3 linked regions of the Canis lupus familiaris genome follow. The protein of the gene in region 1 purifies or fractionates together with the protein of each later gene. This does not show direct contact. Links are inferred from orthologs where the notes say so. Each region holds a gene or a part of one and is shown on either strand. Other genes may lie near its edges. The genes, in order: PIAS4, IKBKG and SMAD4.

Region 1 (7,727 bases):
GAACTCACGACCCCCGCATCAGAGCCGCACGCTGGGGCGCCGCCGGGGCACGCAGGGGTGTCCTGTCGCCTCCCGCCTTCGGCACAGGCGAGTTGCAGCAGCGCTGCCGGCGGGCGCTGGGGAGCCCAGGAAGGCTCTAGAGCAGGGGAGGTTCCAGGCGGCGCCGATTCCAAAGGTTGCAGCGGGCGGGGAGGCGGGACCCGCGCGAGGGTCGCCCGCGGGGGCGGGGCAGCGCGAGCCGCGGGAAGCGGGCGGGGGGAGGTCCTCGCGGCCCGGCCCTGGGCCAGCCGGGGGGCGCCGCGCCGGGACCCGGATGTGAGCGCGCGGGGCGCCGGGCCCGCCGGGGCTGCACCGGGCCGCGCGGACGGGCTCCCCGCTGCACGCGCCGGAGGCCGCTGCGCCGGAGCCCCGGCCCCTCCCCCGACGCCGCCGGGCGTCCGGGCGCGCACCTGGCCGGCGGCCCAGCGCGGGGGCCGCGCACCTGGCTGCATTGTTGTCCCCTTCCCGCCCCACCGCCCGCCCCCACCTGTGCGTGACGCGTATCCCTTTAAGTAGCCAGACGCCGGCAGGGGTGGGCGTGGTCGCCGCGAGGGAGGCGCTGGGGGGGTGGGGGGGGGTGGGGGGGCAGCGTCGGGCCGTCCTGATTGGCCCGGGGCCCGGGCGGCGGTCGCACGCGCCTGCGCACTGCAGGGCAGCGCGCGCCGGGGGGGGGCAGGAGGGCGCGCGGTGCTAATTGGCCGCCGCCGCGGCCCCGCCCGCGAGTGGCGGGCGGTCACGTGACGCGACGGCTGGGGGCTCCCGGCGCGGGGGACGCTGGTGGCCAAGATGGCGGCGGAGCTGGTGGAGGCCAAAGTGAGTGAGCGGCGGCGGCGCCGGCCCGGGCGGGCGGGAGAAGGGGCGGGGGCCGGGCGGCGGGCGGAGGTCTGCGCCTTCCGCCCGGGGCCCCGCGGCGCGGCCCGCTTGCGGTTCGCCGCCCGGCCCCCTCGCCCGCCCCTGGCCCTGGCGCGCCGGGTGCGGGCGGGGGGCGGGGAGGCCGGGGGCGGGGCCCCCCAAACCTTACCCCAGCCTCCGCGCTGGGGGTTGGTTCCCGGGCGTGAGGCGGGGTCGCCCCCCCGCCCGCCCGAGGGGTTGGGGGCGAGTCTCCCGGAGCCTGGGCGCAGGGCCGCGCCTCCCGGACAGCCTGACGGGCTGGGCTGCTCGTCCCCTCCGCGCCCCGAGCCGGGCTCCTGCTCTTTGGCCTGGGGGAGCGTGTTCGCCTCGCCGCCCCCCGTGGCAGCGAGGGTCGGCCCCTGGGTCTCAGCCTCCCTGCCCAGCAGGCCGGCCGGGCTTGGCGACTCCCTGCTCAGAAGGGCCCCGTGCCCCTTGTGCCGCCGCTTCCCGCGCCCGGGGTGACGGGCCGGGGTCCCGAAGCACCCCCCAGACGCCGCGTCCGCTTGGGGGTTTGTACCCCGGGCTGGAGGTCGCCCCCCTGCTTCGGCTCCCGCGTTGGTCCCGGAGCCCCGCCCCCCTCCCGACACCGTCTCGCTCGCCCTCGGAGTGGGCACCGGGTCTCTCGAGTTTGCTCTCCCGCCTGGGATGGAGCCCTGCCCCTGTTCCCTGTTCAGAGCCTTCCTCCGTGCCCGTCTCCTCGGTCTTGGGTCCTGGGCTCTGCCTTGCTCCCCGTTTTTACTCTCGGGACAGCGTTTGTGAGATTTTGGACTCTGCTCCTGGGGTCTCTCAACTTCACGCTAACAGAATTAGACCCTGTGCCGGCTGTTTCCTTTATACTCCCAAGTGCTTCTACTGAGGTGGTACTGTGTCTACGCAGCTCCCCAGAACCTACTTTAGATCCCTTTATACGCCCCAACTCTGGCTTCTGAGGCTGCCTCTTCCCTTCTGCTGGTTTCTTGTGTTGGTTCATGGAGAGTGCTTCTCCACCCTCTCTCTTTAGTGCTTCTAGTGCTTCTCCCTCATGCTCCATTTTGGGGTCCAGGTTCCACATCCCATAGAGGCCATTTCTGTTCCAGGGGTACTGTCTTCCAGGTACCTTGCCCCACACTACAGTGGGGTTGTTCCCTTCCTCCCTGAGAAGTTTACTCCAGGCCTTTGGTGGCCGGGAGGTGGGAGACCGGACCTTTCCTGGACAGAGGCTCCGCCTTTTCCCCTCCCACTGATCTTCCCTCCCCAGGTCCTGACCTGTAAATGTTTTCTTTCTCCTGTTCCTCTCTCTCCCTCCATCTCCCTTCTCTTCCTGCGGAGATCTGAAATGCAGTTCCCTTCCCCCTGGAGCGTCCCCCTCAATGCCTGTACTACACTCTGCCCTTCTGTAGGGTTTTGAGAAATTGGGACTTGCCCTGGAGATGTGGAAGTCTGAACTCTGCATGCCCAAGGTAGCAGCCAGTGGGCTTGAGGACCCCCGGAGCCCTCAAATAAAGCCGTCCCATAGGGCTGTGACTCTGGGTGTACCCCACCCCCCACCCGGTCCCAGTCCCAGCCAGACGGTAGGGACTGAATTCTTTTATACCATCCAGGGCCTTGAAATATGATCTCATGAACTCTACTTGACCCTCCGGTGGCTGGGGCCCCCACCCCAATTAAATCAAGTTGACCCTTTTTTCAAGTTCTCTAGAACGTGAGCCTCTGTTCAGTGACACAGCTCGCTCCGAGCCTCGGGCGCCTTTCTTTAGTCTGTGGCTGCCACTGTGGAGTGTCTTAGGTGTCGTTGAAGTGTTCTCTTCTTTTAGGTGCTTACCTAGCCTTTTGTAGTAACAGGGGCTGGAGATTTTGTCTTTTGGAGTTCAAAACAGGCTGGTCCTCAGGGAGAATGACAGGGGCTTGTTGGTAAACTTGGAAATCCGCCTTTGCCTGAGGCCCCTGTGAGGGCTTGGGGAGAAGAGGCAGTCTGGGAACCCCTTGAGATGGGAGCATTTTGCACAGATCTCCCATTTCCTGGCGATAAGGACCTTAACTTTCCGCCACATTCAGAGGAACCTATACCCGAGACGGGTTAAGTTAAGCGCGGCAGCTCTATCCAGGCTGATGTTTTTCCACATAGCTCCAAACAAGCCCAGAGTTGAGACTCTGGAAGCCGTGGGGGCCTGGTGCTGTTTATAAACACAGATCTGAGGGGCAGGCGGGTAGGATGAAGCCATGGCAGGAAGTGATTTGCAAAGTGCTTGGGGCTTCTTCCTGAATGTTTGTGCCCCTCTCACACTGTCCCCCCTCCCAGTGTCAAGGGCAGGCTCCTTGGTGGTGGCAGCTGCTGAGAAATCCGAGTCGTGAACATATGGCAGCTTGAGGGATGTGCCCCAGGATGCTTGTGCGGCAGCTCCGGATGTCCAACCTGGTGAAAGGGCTGGGCCATGGCGGGGGCAGGGTGCTCCCAGGGGCGGGGTGATGGTAGAAGATGTGTTGTGGTCAGACTCGGCACACCGAGCCCACCTGCCTTTAGCTCCGTGGAGGGCACTCAGCTTCCACATGACGTCTCCTCTCCCCTCCAAGGCCTTGGGCCTCTTCCAGAAGAAACATCTTGTCTGCAAGCCTATTTTCTCTGCTCAAGGTAGGAAGTCAGGCCAAGGAAGGTGAAGTCTTTGTGTTTTTGTAAGCATTCTGGGCTCTCTGAGAGCCTACAGATTGCTTAAGTCCCAAGGCAGGAGGTGTGCTGGGATGTGAGGGGTCCCCAGGCCCCCAGATAGCTGGGTGGGAGTGGAAGGAAGTGCCCTTGGGACTCTGATGGCTCCTGCCACTGACACGTGGGGAGGCTCTGGGCCAGCCACGTTTTTCACGGGGCCTCGGTTTTCTAACCTGCCTGGTGGGCGTGGACCCTTGTGAGATTCGTGGCCGCAAAGAGCCCTTGTGCTTGGTGTGTGGCGGATGCTCCACATCTGTAGTGTGGGAATAGGAGGAAGGCCCTGCAGCGGGAAAAGGCTCCCCCTTGAGATTTTGCAGGCAGGATGGGCAGCCCCACATGTGTGTATCTGTCATTTTGTGCCTTGACAGCCTCTCTGCTATCAGCAGGAACCTGGTGGACGGCTGCCGAAATCTTAGAGGGCTCACATCTTGCATGGGTAGATGAGATGCCCAAAGTGCAGAGGGACCCTACAGAGGACCTGGGGTTGCCTAGGAACCCAGAGCTCCTGAGTCCTGGTGCTGCCCTCAGACTACACGCCTCACCCTTCAACAGCCAGGAAACGGGAAACACCAGAGCCTTCTGGCAGTGAGACTGCTACGTAAACACCCTGGCAGGGTTCCCACCCACCTCTAACTGTCAGACTCTCAAGTTGAATTTAAGGGCTTCATTGGTTTCCTTGGGTGCTGTCCTGCCCTGTGCCCGCCAGCTTCCCATATACACCTTCATCACTTGTACCTGTTTTCCCCATTCCCCTGGAAGTTTCTTTTTCCCCACCACATTTCATTCATTGCAGGCCAGCTTTGGGGCTCAGTGTGGGTGGCCCTGAAACCCTGCCGGCCTATCCATCCTTCAAGGATACTTTGCTTATGTAGCATATTGCGGAGTGTCAGTCCCCTTGGCGTCCCAGAGTCTCCCCGAGGCCAGGCTATGGTCAGGCCGCCCCAAAGAAAACATCAGCGTCAGCTGAGCTCTCGTGTTTGGTTTGATTTAGTCGGAGGGACCCTGCCAGGTAGTAAGTGCCAGACTCTGCTAGACCTCTTTCATCACTTTGCCACAGCTCACAGCCTCCGTGGCTGCTGTATTCCCAAAGCCTTCTCCTCAGACCCGTGGTTCTAAATGGGCCGAAACTGTTCCCAGGGCACACTTGGCAGTGTCTGGGGGACCTTTGTCATTATCACCACGGGAGCTTGGGGAGAGTTCCTGGCATCGAGTGGGTGGAGGTCAGGGATGCTGCTGAGTACCCAACAGTGCCCAGGATGGCCCCGCCCCAGAGAACAATCCAGTCCCAACGTCCACAGGGTCGAGGCAGAGAAGGCCTTCTGGAATGATCAGCAGACGTTTGATGTTCACCAGTGCTCAGCCCCATGTGGACACCCCTAGTGCAATAGAGAGAAATTACCCCTGGCTTTGGAGTCAGGCCTAGGTTTGAATCTTGGCTGTCATGTGGAGCTCCCCACAGCCCAGCAGGATTGTCATAAGAATCAGCGTTGAGTATATGATCACATGTGCAGCTCAGTTCCTGGCGAGTGATTGGTATTAAGTCGTGGCTACCATACTCCAGACTGAAGGGAAAATGTGTTTGTGGCCAACGTTGATTTTCTCTGCTTTCCGTATGTTACCTCATCTGGTCCTTCCCACATCCCAACGAAGTGGGTCCTGTCATCCTGACGAAGAGACTGAGGGTCACAGAGGCCATTAGTGTTCTTGGCTAGGGAGTGGCTGAGGCTGTTTACGGGTAAAGGAAGATTCCCAGTTCCTGCCCTGGGGATGCTTTCAGGCTTGAAGATGGGAAAAGAGAACTTAAAATAGAAGGCAGCGGTGTGTGTTGGGGGGGCGGTCAGAAGCTTTTGCTGCGTTGGCAGTGCTGAGGAAGGTTTGAGGAGGAAGAGGTGGAGGGGAGCAGGGTTAAGCTGGGAGGGGGCATCATAGGGAAGGGTGAGCGGGCAGCGTGAGCAAGGTCATGGAAGTGGGACTGAGCCTGGGCTGGTGGGCCTGGTGCCTACGCCTCCTCCTCCTCCTGGGCTCCTGCTCCTGCCCACCAGAGTGAAGGGGGTCTGGAGGGAGGGCCAGGCAGCACCTGATGGGCTCTCCTTTCGCTGTCCCCCCCGTTTAGGGCCCAGGTGGCTCCACGAAGCCCCTTGCCCCATTGGCAGTCCCCGAATCTGGCTGTGTCTCCTCTGAGCGTGTGTATCTGTGGTTGCTCTTCCCCAGAACATGGTGATGAGTTTCCGAGTCTCCGATCTTCAGATGCTCCTGGGTTTTGTTGGCCGGAGTAAGAGCGGACTTAAACACGAACTTGTCACCCGGGCCCTCCAGCTGGTCCAGTTTGACTGTAGCCCCGAGCTGTTCAAGAAAATCAAGGAGCTGTACGAAACGCGCTACGCCAAGAAGAGCTCAGAGCCTGTCCCCCAGCCCCACCGGCCCCTGGACCCCCTGACCATGCACTCAACCTACGATCGGGCTGGCACGGTGCCCAGGACTCCCCTCTCGGGCCCCAACATTGACTACCCCGTGCTCTATGGGAAGTACTTGAATGGACTTGGACGCTTGCCCACCAAGACCCTCAAGCCGGAAGTGCGTCTGGTGAAGCTTCCCTTCTTTAACATGCTGGATGAATTGCTGAAGCCTACAGAGCTGGGTGAGTCTGCCACCACCTGGGGGTGGGGGGCCCCGACCTGCACTCTCGCAGTGCCTCTGGGCAGCCACAGTCACTGACCCAGAGTGTCTCCTGGGAAGCAGTGAGGGCCAAGGGGTGGGGGTGGGAGGGCTTTCCTTCCCAGGAAGCACAAGAGCCTCCTCTGGATCTATCAGCAACCTGGTGAGTCGTCTCATGAGTACCCTGAATCTCAGTAGCTTAGCACCACAGGCACTCATCTGCTCTCAGCTTGTGAGGGTTAGAACTTGGGAGTGACTTAGTGGAGTGGTCCTGATACAACCTGATACACGGTCACTCATCAGGTCTCATCTGAAGGCCCGACTAGGGCTGGGGGCCACCCACTCCCATGCTTGCTGGCAGGTCTTGGTTTCTTGCTGGCTGTCAGCAGAGACCCCACTTCTTGCCATGTGGGTTCCATAGACTGCTTGAGCATCGTGACAGCGTGGAATGATGGCTTGCTTCCTTTGGAACCAGTGATGGTGTGGGAGAGTTAGTGTGCGCACTTGAGAGTGAATGATGTAGAACAGGGAGAAGCCAGAAGCAGCTAGAAGTCGTCTCCATGACCTCAGCTTGGAAGTGGCCTAACTGCCACACTCTATCAGTCACACAGAACAGCTCTGTGTTGTGGGCCAGGCCTGGACCATCGGAGGGAGGCATCTCTGGGGGCCACTGGGGATGCTGGCTTGTGTGCTCTAACTCCCTGTGGCAGAGGGGCTGGAAGTTGGATCTGATCTCCCTTCCTCCTGCAAAAGGCTTGTTTCCTGGTAGGCGGCCTTCGGAGTAACCTTGGCCAGTGGGGTGCAGTCTGGTCACCATGGGCCAGCTGGTTAGGGAATGGCTAGCTGTGCTCCCAAGAGGTGGGACACCGCCAGGAGTGTAGGAGACAATGCCAGGGCCCTGTGGTTCCTGTCTGCCATAGAGAAATTCTCTGACTCCCAAGGTTGATGGTGTGCTGCACATGGATGGGCCCCTGGTCTTTCTCCGGCATCTGTGGTAGTGGTGGGGTGGGTGGGCGTCAGCCTGGCCTCGGCCTCATGTGCTCCCACCAGCCACAGCTGCCTGCGCCTCCAGGGCTCCAGATGGCAAGTCTAGTAAGAGGGCTTCTTGGCCCCCCTTGGATTTGATGGGGTCCCTGTGTGGTCCTGGAGACCCCTTTTGTCATCATTCTTGTCTTCTTTGCCTTGAGAACCTGCCAGGTGGATGCCCATGGAAGCCCTCCCTGGGGACGCCCACCCCGGGGACATGGCAGGGAGCAAGCAGAGCACCCCACCCTCATGAAGGTTCCCTCCGGCAGTCCTGGAGGTGCCCCGAGCATGTGTCGGCACCGTGGGTCCTGCTGTCTCCCTGTAGCCCTCATCCCCATCTCCATTTCAACCTCCCACGTCTTTGCCGAGCCCCCGCTGCACACCAGCCTCTGGCCCTGGTTGTGAGTTGGTTTTCTCTGTAATGTGGCAGAGGTCA
Region 2 (5,886 bases), on another chromosome or scaffold:
GAGCAGCATGGTGAGCAGCGAGCGAAACCGAGTGAGTATGGTGGGGCTGTCGCGGGGACTGTAGGACTGACTTTGCTTCGCTTCCTCTCCCTGCCGCCTAGAAACAGCAGAGCTCGGGACCTGCTGCCACTGATTTAGGGCCATGGGAGCTCAAGTTCTTATTTGAACACTTGCCAGAATTTGATTTTGGGGGGGATGTTTGACTTGTCGTAGACCTTTGTCAAGGTCGCAGTGTGACAGCTCAGCGCGGGTGGTGGGAGACTGGGATCCTAGGGCTGTGCTGTGTGTGGCCTACGGTCCCCTGGGCCGGGCCTCTGGCGGCGCTCTGTGTGGCCTGGGAACATGCTTGTCTCCGTGGCCAGTCCTTCCCACCAGCTTGGCTCCTGGCTCAGAGATCCCAGAGCCAAGGTGAGGCGTGGGACACTTCATCACACTACTGGGAGTGGTGCTGGGAGCCCTTTTCTGGTTGGTTTTCATCAGACCTGTACTGGGTGCAATGTCAAGTGATCGCGTTTTAAGAAGGATGCTGTCAAACCCGAATGTACCCAGGGGACATCTCTAAGGCTTGTAAGGGTAACACCTGACACCGACCACACCAGGAAGAGTTAGTTACACAACTGTGGCCTTTCGATCTGCAGGAGGAAGGCTTGCTGGCATGTGTGGCTGTGTCTGTGTGTGCATGCATCTGCGTGTGTGCATGGGGGGCTGAGGGCATCTGGGAGGGAGCAGCAGACCTTTGTAGGATGGCAGGGTGGCAGGACCCACAGGTCTCAGCTTCGTGGCGGCATGTGGTGGACTGTTAGCACGGGAGAGCAGCTGAGCGTGGAGGGGATGGCCTCAGGAGGGAGGATGGCCCTGTCCGCTGAAAGGTTAGAGGTGGGCTGTCCGGCTGGGGATTCTGGGAAGGGAGTGTTGGCCTGGGTGGGAAGTTGTGCCACATGATGTCAAAGGTTCCCTGTAGCCTCTGCCTTTCCTGTGCCGTGCACGCCCTGTCGTCTTGTGCTCTCCACCACTCCAGGGTTGGCCAGCCAGGGCCCATCTTTCATTGATTCCTTTTGGTTCTTCTCACCTGGAGCAGCAGCCGGCCTGGTGGCAGCCTGGTGCCTGCCACGGGCCAGTTTGGGCTCCTGCAGTTCCCCCTTGCCCGTTCCTAGGGAATGCAGCTGGAGGATCTCAAGCAGCAGCTCCAGCAGGCCGAGGAGGCCCTGGTGGCCAAACAGGAAGTGATCGACAAGCTGAAGGAAGAGGCCGAGCAGCACAAGATCGTGATGGAGACCGTCCCGGTGCTAAAGGCTCAGGTGAGGGCACTTCTCTGTGGCCCGTGTGCGGGTCAGCCGACTGGGCCTGCTGGGCCCTGGGCCCTGGTATGTATGTCCCTGGTGTCATTTTGCGGTGGCTTCACGGAAGCCCTTTGAGCCCCTTGCTCTTCCTTGATCTGTCTGCGCTTGGCGGTGACTCTCTGTGCCCCGGCTCTGGGAGGGTGGGAGCCGGCTGTCCCCGATCCCCCAGCAGGCAGTGAATGGCCCACAGCTGGCGGGCGTGCCCCTCTCTTGGCTTTGCCAGGCGGATATATACAAGGCCGACTTCCAGGCCGAGAGGCAGGCCCGGGAGAAGCTGGCTGAGAAGAAGGAGATCCTGCAGGATCAGCTGGAGCAGCTGCAGAGGGAGTACAGCAGGCTGAAGGCCAGCTGTCAGGAGTCGGCCAGGTGGGCCTCGGAGGGCCCGCCCCACGGGGGGTGGGACTGGGTGCGGGGGTCCCGGTGGTGACCGCGTGCGTGTGTCAGGTTAGGCTGAGCCGGCCCTCCCTCTCCGCTCTCCCTCTCCTGCCCTGTCCTGCCCCATCCTTCCGTTGGCTCCGTGCATACTTTTTTTTTTAAAAGATTTTATTTATTTATTCATAAGAGAGAGAGAGAGAGAGAGAGGCAGAAACACAGGCAGAGGGAGAAGCAGGCTCCATGCAGGGCGCCTGACATGGGACTCTGTCCCGGGACTCCAGGATCAGGCCCTGGGCCGAAGGCAGGCGCCCAACCGCTGAGCCACCCAGGGATCCCCTCCGTGCATACTTTTGATCTGACAGTTTCTCTTCTCAAAGGATTGAAGATCTGAGGAAGCGGCACGTGGAGGTCTCCCAGGCTCCCTTACCCGTCACCCCAGGTGAGTGAGCGGTCGGAGAAGGGATGGAGAGGGCAGGGTGCCAGAGAAGGGCCCATCTCGCCTCCCCAGAGTCACTGTCCCGAGTGCAGTCCCCTCCTGGGGACGGGGCGGGCTGAGAGGGAAGACGCAAGCGGCGGTGACCCCAGTGGCCGACCCGACAGGCCTAGCAAGTCTCAGTCCTCTCTGATGCTTCCTCTCTTTCTCCAGTTCACGCCTCCTTTCACGTGCCCGTGTCCATCCAGAGGAGAAGCCCCCCCGAGGAGCCACCGGACTTCTGCTGCCCCAAGTGCCAGTATCAGGCCCCTGATATGGACACCCTGCAGATACACGTCATGGAGTGCATCGAGTAGGGCTGCCTGCCAGTAAGCAGCACAGGACGGCCCGGTGCGAGCTCTCCTGCCGCACGGTCCAGAGTTACGGGCTAGGTGACACAGAACAGGCCACTTCTGTGCGCCCCACGAGCTAGCTCTAGGACCTTATGCTTCAGCTCCCCCATCTGCTGGTTTGCCTCTTTTAGGGCCCATGGAACCCCGGTTAGGCCTGATGCTCTGCTCCTTTTGCTCGTTCTGTCCGCTTGAACTGCTTGCCCTGGGGCTCCCTCTGTTTCCACGTCCACTGGGGAACTCAAGAATCAAGGCCAGGGCTCTCAGAGAACTTCTCAAGCCAAGACGGGCAGAAGCCTTGCCTCCCGCCCACGCTTCCACACACCGTGGCCCCAGCACCCTCGTGGGCCGCGTGGTATTCCATTTGGAGGCTGCACCGCCGGCCCATTTTACCAGTCAGCTTCAGATGAACACTTGGGCCCTCGCCACTCACTGTCACAAACGATGCTGCACTGAACATCCTTGGGCGTCACTTACGTGTCTCTTTGGGTCAGGGTCTTAGAAGCAGCACCGCTGAGCATCGAGCCCTGCCCACACGAGGGGTGCCCGGCCTGCGGGCTTTTGCCATTTGTCGGGCACGGCGCTCTCTATTGAGCCTGAGTGTGTTTGTGGAGCTTGAAGGACCTTTTCGAGTTCTGCTCTTAATGGCTCATTTGTACGTTTTGCCCATTTTTCTGTTGGGCTGTAAGTCTTTTGTTCCTCAGTGGGTTTGAGCTCTTTGGTCACTGGTGGGATGGGCTCTTGTGTATGATAGAAACTGCCACTGTCTTCTCTTCCTCTAACTTTGTGTGAGTGTGTTTTGGGCTTGAAGTTGGTCATCCTTGCGTGGCCACGTCTGTGCACCTTCCCTTCCCTGCTTTGGGTTTACCATTGTTGTGACGGGCTCATGGTTTGACAGGGAGGTGCTTCCACATGCGCACTTTTCCTTTCCTTTTCCGACCGACCACCACTGCGTGCTCTTGTCCTCCCAGAGAGTGTTGCTGCTCTGTGTGGTGGCTGCCTTTCATCACGTTGCAGAAGCTTGTGATGCTGCTCCCCACACCAGCCCCAAATGCCCCAGCCTTGTGAAGGGAAGCCACTTGGTGACAATTGGCAGGTTCTGAACGCTAGAGGGCCCCTTACTGTTGCTTTGCAAGATTTCTGGCTGTTTCCTCGGATGCCAAAGCCAAGGGCTGCCAAAGCCAAGGGCGTTAAGCCCGCAGTTGTCAGCAAAGGACATCAGAAGTGGAGGAAGAATGCCCTGGCCTCCCCTGGTTGGGAATGGGGTGTCGCCGAAGACAGCCTGGCCGGCAGCCCGTTCTGGAGACGAGACTGGCCCGGGGGGCGCCTGGCGTGTGCAGCAGCGGGAGCACCTTTTCCAGTTCCCGGAGCCCGGGTGTCTCCTCGCAGATGACTGAACTTTGGGAAAACGTTAAAGGCGCAGACAGGCTCCCCACTCCCGGGTGCTGTGTTTCAGTCCTGACCTGCAGTTTTCTGCATTAGCACTTCAGTTTCGGGGGATATATTTATTTCCCGTGGCCACTGTGACAAATGACCAGCTTGGCTTAGAACAACAAGAATTCATTCTCTCATGGTGCTAAAATCAGGGTGACAGCAGGGTTGGTTTCTTTTGGAGGCGCTCAGGGAAAGATCAGCTGCAGGCCTGTCTCCCAGCCTCCGTGGGTGGTGGCCCGTGGCATTCTGGGCCGGTAGACGTGTCACTCCGTTCTCTGCCTCTGTGGTTACGTGGCCTCTTCTTTTTCCTGACTGCATCTTCTCTTCTTGTCCCTTACAAGAACACCAGTCACTGGGTTTAGGGCCCACCTCCATCATCTAGGTTAACGTCATTTTGAGGTCCTTATCTTCATTATATCCACAAAGACTTTTCCCAAATAGGGTCGTAATCACAAATTCTGTGCATTAGGACATGCATATGTCTTTCGGGCCACCATTTGGCCCGGCACAAGGGATATCTCCTGGGGCCCACAGACTAGGGCAGGTGCAGTTGAGGACCGGTGTCTCCAGGACCAGCAGCTCCGTTGCGGGGGCTTGTCCCCTGGGGTGAGGGTGGCCGCTGGGCTGCAGAGGCACTTGGCGCTCCGTGGGAAGGAAAGCTGGTGTGGTGTGGGGCAGGCCCTTGCAGGTGTGGGGACTGCCGCTCCTCGGGACATCTCGTCTCCTGCTGGACACTGTGGTTAGGGCCGGTGGCTGCAGGCAGAAGGAAGGGTGCAGGCTGCCTGCAATAGGACAGAGCAGTCGGACTGACCGGGGCCCTGGGTGACAGCCACCAGCGGTGTAGGGCTGGGCTTCGAGTCCTCCTCTGGCTTCCTCCTCTGAAAGGGAGTTGAAAGGACGAAGATGAGATGCAGGTGCAGTGAGAGGCAGATGGTGACTTCCTGGGGAACTTTCCTGGGGTTCCGGCTGTGGCGTCCATGCGGGCCATGCAGCAGCAGCCGCCAGGAGCTGTGCAGCCTTTCGTGCCTGGGCCCCGGGCCGGCGGAGCCACGCTCTGGGGGCAGGGCCTGGCAGCGGCTGAGCGCCACGGGTCTTCCGAAGCTTCCGTTCCTGGGGTGCGCTTGCTCCCTGCCTGCTGCTGATGGCACCCCGTGTGACCCGGTGTGCCTCAGGCGGCGTGGGCTTTAAGCCAGACCTTTCAGTCTGAAGTGGGGGGTTCCGCTTTCTTCCCTTCTGGCTTTCCCTAGATCGGGCTTCCAGAATAAGCGTCTGGATGCCTCCTGCGGGGGAAGCAGCCTGCCTGCCTCCTTCGCTGTGGCCCCTTGACCCTCCTGGCCCTGGCCTTGCCGATAGAGACAGCTAGAAGCACCTCCTGCTGTACCTGTGTCCCCTCTTGTTGCTCGCACACGCGTGCCCTCTGTTACCCGCTCGTCGGTGCTTAAGAGAAACCCAGGTGAGCAATAAAGTCGCCAATGAGAACGCTTCCGGCCCTGACCTGTACCTGAAACACGCAAACCAGGCGAAAAGGGGTGTGAGCCAGGAACAGAGGGAGACCTCTGGTGGGCCGGGGGGCCGGCGTGGCAGGATGGAGGGCGTGGTGGCCACCAGGGCCTGGGGTGACCGTGGTGGTGCCTGTGGGTTCTGCTGATGTGCGGCCGGTGCGGGAGCCCTGCTCGGGGGAGCCCTGCTGGTGGGGGCCCTGCTCGGGGGAGCCCTGCTGGGGGGAGCCCTGCTGGTGGGGGCCCTGCTCCGGGGAGCCCTGCTCAGGGGAGCCCTGCTTGCGGGAGCCCTGCTTGCGGGAGCCCTGCTGGTGGGAGCCCTGCTCGGGGGAGCCCTGCCCGAGCAGCTGTGCTGGCGGGAGCCCTGTTTGGGGGAGCTCTGCTCGGGGGAGCCCTGCTGGTGGGAGCCCTGCTCG
Region 3 (7,466 bases), on another chromosome or scaffold:
AGGGACAGATCCCTGGAGGAGAAGTCAGCCCTGAGAGGTCAGGGTATTGGAAAGATCATCCACATGTGCACTAGAAGCACCTAGGATTGGACAGAAGTGATATTGGAGTGGCTGACAGGAGCAAATGGTGAAAAACTGAAGGGGGATGAAAGCAGCAATGAGGGATACTGGACAACACGATGGAAAGCTGCAGGTTAGTGGGGGGGGGGGGGCGTGGTCTCTTGAGGAGCCAGGGGGACACCTACCTCTTTCCAGGCACAGCCTGTGAGGCTTATGGGTGAAAACACAGCGGCCACTACTTGGGAGGAGGCCTGGAATGCACTGTCCCAGGGGAAAGTCGAGTTTCCCTCAAGCGAGAAAGTGAAGAGAACCTGAAGAGAAACTCCGAGGAGGCTGGGACTGCAGGGATCATTGTCGGCTTAAGTAGACATGGTGTACTGGGCTCTGATGTGGCCCTGCATGGCCCCTGCTTCCTGGCATCCGAGCCCTTATCTGGGCTCCTTCCCTTGAGTGAGGTGGGACCTGTGAGGTGCCTCTGGCCAACAGAGCACGGCAGAGGTGACTAGGTGTGTGGGGTCATGCACACATGGTTATGTCACATATGGTCGTTACCAGTGTGTTACATGGAGACTCTCCCCTTGTGGCTTTGACGAGGCAACTGCCATCCTGTAAGCCTCCCTGGGGAGGGGGCCACCTGCAGCTGACAGTGAGCAAGGGACTAAGGCCTTGGGTCCTGCAGCCGGCAGTCTGGAGGCGCCTCCTTTCCCTGCCAAGCTCTGGCCTGTGATCCTGCAGAGGACCCAGCTAAGCCGCGCTTGAACTCCCGACCCATACGACCTGTCAACTAATAAATGCGTGTTGTGTTAAGCTGCTAAATGTGTGGTCAAATCGTTACACAGCAAGAAATAGGTAACACGGATGGGAACGAAGAGGCTCAGTTACAAGGGTGTTGCTGTGGCGTAGGTGGGGCTGGAGCTCAGGCCCCGAGATAAAGACCTAAGCTGCGATCAAGAGTCAGACGCTCAGCCAGCTGAGCCACCCAGGTGCCGGAGAGCCATGTTACTTTTAACTCCGTCTGAGGTAGAAGTAGGAACTTAGGAGCCACCTGCTGCTCTGGTACCCGACCACCCAGTTAAACCTTCCTTCAGTTTTGCTGATAGCAAAGAACTGGGAACCACCTGACTCACAAAGAATTTATAACCCGTTCATTCAGGTCACTCGCTCTTTCATCAGACGCCAGTTTTTGAATTGTCCCTCTGAATTGTCCTGGGGGTTTTACATCTGGAGTCGGGGTGCCCGCGCGACTGGATTTCAGCTAAGGTCACCATCTCAGGGTTGTGGGGTCGAGCCCCGCATCGGGTCCCACACTCAACACGTCGTCCGCTTGGGCTTCTCTCTCTCTCTCTCCCTCTGCTTCCCCTCCCATCCCCACATTCCCTCTTACTCTAAAATAAAAAAGTAAATAAATACATCTTGAGTTGATGCACCTGCATGAGAATGTCACTTTATTCCGACAGATGGGAGAATGACAGTTTTGGAAGAGGATGCTCTGTCCTCAGGTGACTTCTCAAGCTGAGCCATTGTGTTAAGTAGTGCACTAGCAACGGGAGCTCTCTAAGTGAATTCCCTTAAAACTAGTCTTGGAAAGTCTTCCTGGACCCAGGAGCAGGGAACACGGGAGACGACGGCGGCGGGACACGCAGGAGTGCGGGTTGCCGTGGTGCGGGGGGGGGGGGCAGCTCGGGAACGGGCGGGATGCCGAGGGGATAGCAGGGGGGGACACCGTGGGGACAGCCAGGCAGGACAGCTTGGGAACGGGCGGGGACAGCGGGGCGAGGACAGCAGGGAGGGGACGGGGACGGGGGCGGGGACGGGGGTGGAGAGCAGGGACGGGGGGGCGGGGCGGGGGCGGGGCGGGGGCGGGGCCGGGACGCCGTGGGGACAGCGGGCGGGGCCGGCGCGGGGACGGGCGTACGGAGGGTCTGAGCGCTTCCTCGCCACTAGCTTGCGTCGGGCTCCCCACCCCCGGCAGGGGAAGTTTTTTCTAGGTGGTAAAAAATAAAACAAAAATTCGAAAGTATGCAACTCGTACGTGTTTTCTGAAACTTTTAAAAATAAAAGAAATGCGCGCATCTTGGAAAAGTTGAGATAAGTAGGTATGCACTGCGAAGCCGAGTTTCGCCCCACAGGTGGCCTCAACAGGTGCGCGGCAGGTCCTTGAGCGCCGCCCCCATCGCAGTGTCCCCCGAGCCCCGTCCACTGGCCTCCGTGACCCGCGGCCACACTCCCGCACGGGCTGCCGGTCCGCGCGCCGCGGAGCCGGGAGGGGGCCCGGCAGGTGTCCGCCCTCGGGGCCGCCCGCCGCCGGGCCGCGCATCGCGCCTGCGCCCCGCGCCTGCGCACAACCCCCCCGCCGGCGCTCCGCGGGGGGCGGGGCCGCGGGAGAGGGAGCTGCGGGGGCACGGGCCGAGGCCTGCAGTTACCCGGATGTGGTCGCCGTGCGCGCATGCTCCGTGGCCTCCCGACAAGTTGGCAGCAACAACACGGCCCTGGTCGTCGTCGCCGCTGCGCTAGCGGAGCGGCTCGGGTGGCGGGGCCCGCGTTGGCGCCCGCGCGCCGTCCTCGGGAGGCCTTGCCCGCCGGTCCTTCAGCGGCGCGGCCGCCCGGCGGCGGGAGCGGCTAGGGGAGCCGGGCGCCCCGCGACCGAGGGCCCCCCCCGCGGGGCGGCCCGGGAGCTCGAGGCGGCCGGCGGGCGGCGGCGGCGGCGGCGGCGAGGAGGGGCGGGGGCGCGGGGGGAGCGGTGGCCCGCGGACGGGCGGCGGCGGCGGCGGCGGCGGCGGCGGCGGCGGCGGCGGCGGCGGCGGCGGCGGCGGCGGCGGCGGCGGCGGCGGCGGCGGAGCCCAGGTAACGGCCCCGTGCCCTCCCCTTCCCCGGCCGGGCCCGCGCCCCCCCACCCCCGGGCTTCCCCGCCCCGGGGCGGGCTCGGGCGGCCGGTGCGTGCGTGTGCGCGTGCGCGTGCGTGTGCGCGGGGGGCGGGGCGGGGGCCGGGGGGCGGGGGGCCTCGCGCCTCGCGTCCCGGGCCCAGCGCCCCCGCGCCTCCGCGCCCCCGCGCCCGCCGCGGCTCCCCTGCCGTCGCCGTCGGTCTTTGTTGCTCCGAGGACTTGCGCCCGCCGCCCCCGCCGAGCGCGCCCGAAGTTTCCCGTCTCGGGGACACGTCGGTGCCGCCTTTGTCCTCCACTTTCCCTTCCTGCCGGGGCCGCTCCGGCGCTCGCCTCGGCCTGCGCTGGGCGCTCTCGCGGCTCGGGAGCGGGCGGGCGGCGGGGGGGAGCCCTCCCGCTGACCTGCGCGCGCCCCTCCCCCGCACCCCTCCATCCCTCCCCCCTCTCCTGATGAGCACCCGGCCGCCCCCCCAGCCTCCATCCCTCCACCTCTCCACCCCGCCCCTCCACTCCACCTCTCACCCCCCCATCCCTCCACCCCCCACCCTTCCACCCCTCCACCCCTCAATCCTTCCCCTAATCAGCTCCCGGCCGCCCCCCACCCCACCCCACCCCACCCCACCCCACCCCACTCCCAATGAAAACCCAAGGACCCAGTTTCTCCCGCTGCTGGGACTGCGAGCGCTGGGCGCGAGGCTCTAGGACGGAGGGCGGTGGCTCCATCACTTGCCCCCAAAACTGAGGTTATCATTTCTCAGGGAAGATTTTTCAAAGAAATGGGCGTGTTGGGTTAACTTGAAAGGTGGCTTTGGGGGCCTGGAGAGGTGTCCGACGGCTCTGCTGGTGGTGATGCGCAGCACCTCCCCCCCCCCCCCCCAAAGCCCTGGTGAAAGATTCTTTTTCACGAACACATTTTATTTCCGATGAATTCACTTTGGACCCAGTTCCTTGGTGCCTTTTGCGCTGTACTCTGAGGTGGGGCTGAGGGCCCTTCGGGGTCGTGGACGCGGCGCAGCGGGCTCCTGGGCATCTCCTGACCGCGAGCCAGGGTGCGGAGGAGCTGGGGTGCAGAGGCTCGGTAGGGGCCCCGACCTGCCGCAGGGAACACCCCTTTGAGTCCCTGCAGGGAGCACCCCCTTGGGTCCCTGCAGGGAGTGTCCTCTTGAGTCTCCACAGGGAGCACCCTAGTCTTCGCAGGGAGCACCCCCTTGAGTCCCCGCGAGGAGCACCTCCTTGAGTGTCCTCTTGAGTCCCCGTGGGGAGCGCCCCCTTGAGTCCCCGCAGGGAGCACCCCCTTGAGTCCCTGCAGGGAGTGTCCTCTTGAGTCTCCGTGGGGAGCACCCCCTTGAGTCCCCGCAAGGAGCACTCTAGTCTTTGCAGGGAGCACCCTAGTCTTCGCAGGGAGCACTCTAGTCTTCTCAGGGAGCGCCCCTTGAGTCTCAGCAGCAGTCTCTGTGGATCTTAAAAAAGTAGGTTGAGTAGTTTTTGTTGGAACAGACCGTGGAGTCTTAAGAGGAAATAAGGAAATCCACGCTTTGAAAAAGTAACGGGATTTAGGACGCAGCTGGGTGGGTGGGCCGCGGTGCCCGCGCCTGCCTTCCTGCACCTGCGCCGTGTTGCCCGCGAGCCTCTGAGCCTCCGAGGCGTGAGGACTTTTCCGTTAAGGACTTCTTATTTTTTCTTCTGAAAAGTTCTGATATGCCGAGTATGTGACATTTCAAGTTGTAAATGATGTGATTGACCTCTTAAAATATGACGTCCTGCTGCTGTTTCATGAGCTGTGACTTTGTTTCCCTAAACGGGTTTGTTACCAGAACCAACAGGACTCGCAGGGTTTTGGGGTCTAAAGGGGGTGATGAATTGTGTAGGTTTAAGTTGTCGGAATTAAACCTAAGAGCCTTTCTAGAGAAAATGGATAGAACCTTTCGTGGGTCTGTTAATAGAAGTGGCTTTTTCTTTGCTTTCCAGGTTTTTGGGTGAGGTTGCTTGAAGAGGCACTGCATCTTCTTAATTCTTTGATTTTCCGAGTAGGAGGGCCTGAGTGGAAGCTTCTCTGTTTAGCTGAGTGCCCGCCTTGTAAATCTCGAGCTTAGAAAAGAATTGCACGTCAGTTTGAGATTTGATGGAAATTTGGGCTGAGAAGGTGAATTTGAAATTTTTACATGGATCATTGGCCTTTTCTAATGGCTTTGCTGCTTGAAGCAATGCTGCTTACACTACGAAGCAGCAAATCTTCTAAAAACCTATGTATGTTTTATTCTGAGGCTACATTTTGGTTGAGCTGTTTATTTGTGTCTGAATTGTTTTTCTGCATTCCCCTTTAGACACCCCCCCCCCCCCATATTAAAGAGAAAAAAGCATTAAACTAATTTATGCTGCCCAGTCACACTCCAGCCCTCTGGCTTGGAAGCTGTTTTTTTCTGATTGAGCTGGTGTTATAACGTCATTAGACACTATCCTAATTGAGCTGTGAATTGCTGTGGCCTCTACTAGGGCTCTTAACCCTGCAGGATCTGTCCCGTTCATTTAAAACGCATTTTTAGTCCTGTCTAAAATTTTGCCTATTTTGTTGAGTACCTTTTTTTATGTTTAAAGTTATTTCAGTTCTATATTGTTCCCCTCTAGCTCATGCCTAACTTTTTCCCATCTTCCATCCAGTGATTTTGATAGTAAACAAGGCTTTAAACATCTTATGTTGGCCGTTTCGGTGCTCATTGTACATGTTTTGATTTCCTTTTTTTCTAGAAGATTGTGTGGTTAGGCAGAAATTTTTGTTTTGCTTAAGCGATGATGAAATGTTGACTCTGAATTGATGCTTAATCATGTGTAAAACTAACAACTAAAACAGTTCCGTTGATTTCATTATTTTCTACACTAAATGAAAGTTAAAGGACTTGGATCAGCGTAACACAGAATATAATATAACTGTTAAACTACCAAATTTTGGGCTTTTTACTCAACAGTTGATGAAGATTTGGTTGTTTTAAAAAGAAATTCAAACAGTTGATAAATATGTGTAGATATTTGAGTAACTTTCAGTATGATACTGCTTGCATCATAATATGACAAAACATATGCTTGGTAATGAGTCAGATTTAGAATTTTTGGATTTTATCCCTCATTTTAAAATGTGTAATTTTGGTGATGGGAAATGTGGCTGAATTCCAGTTTCTCAGGAACAAGGTATTTTAGGTTGTGTCACCTTGACATTATTTTCTGGTGTGATTGGCATCCAGGAAAATTTGTATTAACTATGAGAGTGGATAGAAACTAGGGTAGTGCTTACTTACATAAAACTAAGGTGGTAAGTGGTCAGAATCTTATAATTTAAGTCTTGATTATTTGCTACTGCAAATTATATCGTAGGTCAGATAGATAGCTACCAGAGACAGATTGTAAAGACTGTCTATTACGACATCTTAAAGTTGGTGATAATTGTAAATATATTTAAGTTCAAAGACACTATTTATTTACATTTTAAATGAAAATTGTTTGCACTTTGGGAAACTTGTACCTGTGTGGGATTCATGTTTGTTTGTTTGTTTGTTTAAGATTTTTATTTATTCATGAGAAAGAGAGGGGCAGAGACACAGGCCGAGTGAGAAGCAGGCTCCCTGCAGGGAGCCTGATGGGATCTATCCATCTATCTATCCCAGGATCCCGGAATCATGAGCTGAGCCAAAGGCAGTCACTCAGTCGCTGAGCCATCCAGGCGTCCCCGGAATTCATCTTTTTATTACTTTTTTACTCCCAAGGTTGAGGACAATGGTTTTCAACCTTGGCTGCATTTTGAAATCTTCTGGGAAGCTTTGCAAAATCTGGTGGCTGGATCCCACCTCCAGAAATTGTGATTCAGTGGGCCTGGGATGCAGCAAGATCAGAATTGAAGGTGGTTTAGCTATTGGGGTCCTGTAACTTTATATTTTGAACTATTTCTCTTGTGTTGGCTTTACATCGTTTAATACAATGATGTACATATGTACTGTGTAGTCATCTCACATCTAACTTAGTGGATCTCCTGAAGGTATTGCCACATTTGTCTTGCTTCATTGTTTGTCCCTTCATCTTCATTTGTTCCTCTCTCCCTTCTTTTCTCCTTTATTCATTTTTCATTTCATTTGAAATGTCTGGTAGCAGGTTTTAGGGACTTGTATTTCCCATGATAAGTTGGTATAGCATTACTATTCTAAATAGGAAGTTGATCTTTTTGTTTTTGTTTTTTTTAAAGTATTCTAAAAAGTTTACTTGGGCTCCTTTTGGAGACTTAGGACTTTAAGTGTCAAAATTAGCATCTAAACTCCAATGGAATTTGGTCTTCAAAGGGGGTTAATCTGCTTGGAAACCATAAAATTTTCTAGGCACCTGTTAACTGGTCACTTCACTGGTTCCTGAGAGGCAAGTTGCATTTAGCTTTTGGTGTCAGGAGTTAACTTACCCCCTGTGAGATGTTGCTCAGCAAGCCCAACTAGTTAGCATTTCTTTGGAAATCATCTAAGGAGAATATATTCAGTTTTCCATTTACATCAG

The links.
Region 2: the proteins of PIAS4 (region 1) and IKBKG purify together in Homo sapiens (affinity purification with western blotting; 5 studies listed by BioGRID, with this or other methods). This does not show direct contact. The link is inferred for Canis lupus familiaris from reciprocal best matches to the Homo sapiens genes PIAS4 and IKBKG.
Region 3: the proteins of PIAS4 (region 1) and SMAD4 purify together in Homo sapiens (affinity purification with western blotting, with the first as the bait; 3 studies listed by BioGRID). This does not show direct contact. The link is inferred for Canis lupus familiaris from reciprocal best matches to the Homo sapiens genes PIAS4 and SMAD4.

Annotation. Positions count from the first base shown.
Region 1 is NC_049241.1:55,943,178-55,950,904, reverse strand, and holds the start of PIAS4 (E3 SUMO-protein ligase PIAS4), read left to right. Parts: upstream 1-3,265; 5' UTR 3,266-3,280; coding exon 3,281-3,325; intron 3,326-5,723; exon of another isoform or gene 5,724-5,821; coding exon 5,822-6,248; intron 6,249-7,727.
Region 2 is NC_049260.1:123,435,540-123,441,425, forward strand, and holds the end of IKBKG (NF-kappa-B essential modulator), read left to right. Parts: coding exon 1-31; intron 32-1,154; coding exon 1,155-1,298; intron 1,299-1,563; coding exon 1,564-1,706; intron 1,707-2,092; coding exon 2,093-2,154; intron 2,155-2,361; coding exon 2,362-2,504; 3' UTR 2,505-5,454; downstream 5,455-5,886. UniProt on the Homo sapiens protein: Regulatory subunit of the IKK core complex which phosphorylates inhibitors of NF-kappa-B thus leading to the dissociation of the inhibitor/NF-kappa-B complex and ultimately the degradation of the inhibitor.
Region 3 is NC_049222.1:24,036,534-24,043,999, reverse strand, and holds the start of SMAD4 (mothers against decapentaplegic homolog 4), read left to right. Parts: upstream 1-2,860; 5' UTR 2,861-2,904; intron 2,905-4,917; exon of another isoform or gene 4,918-5,082; intron 5,083-7,466. Other genes in the region: ELAC1 (zinc phosphodiesterase ELAC protein 1), read left to right, coding at 1,214-1,462. UniProt on the Homo sapiens protein: In muscle physiology, plays a central role in the balance between atrophy and hypertrophy. When recruited by MSTN, promotes atrophy response via phosphorylated SMAD2/4.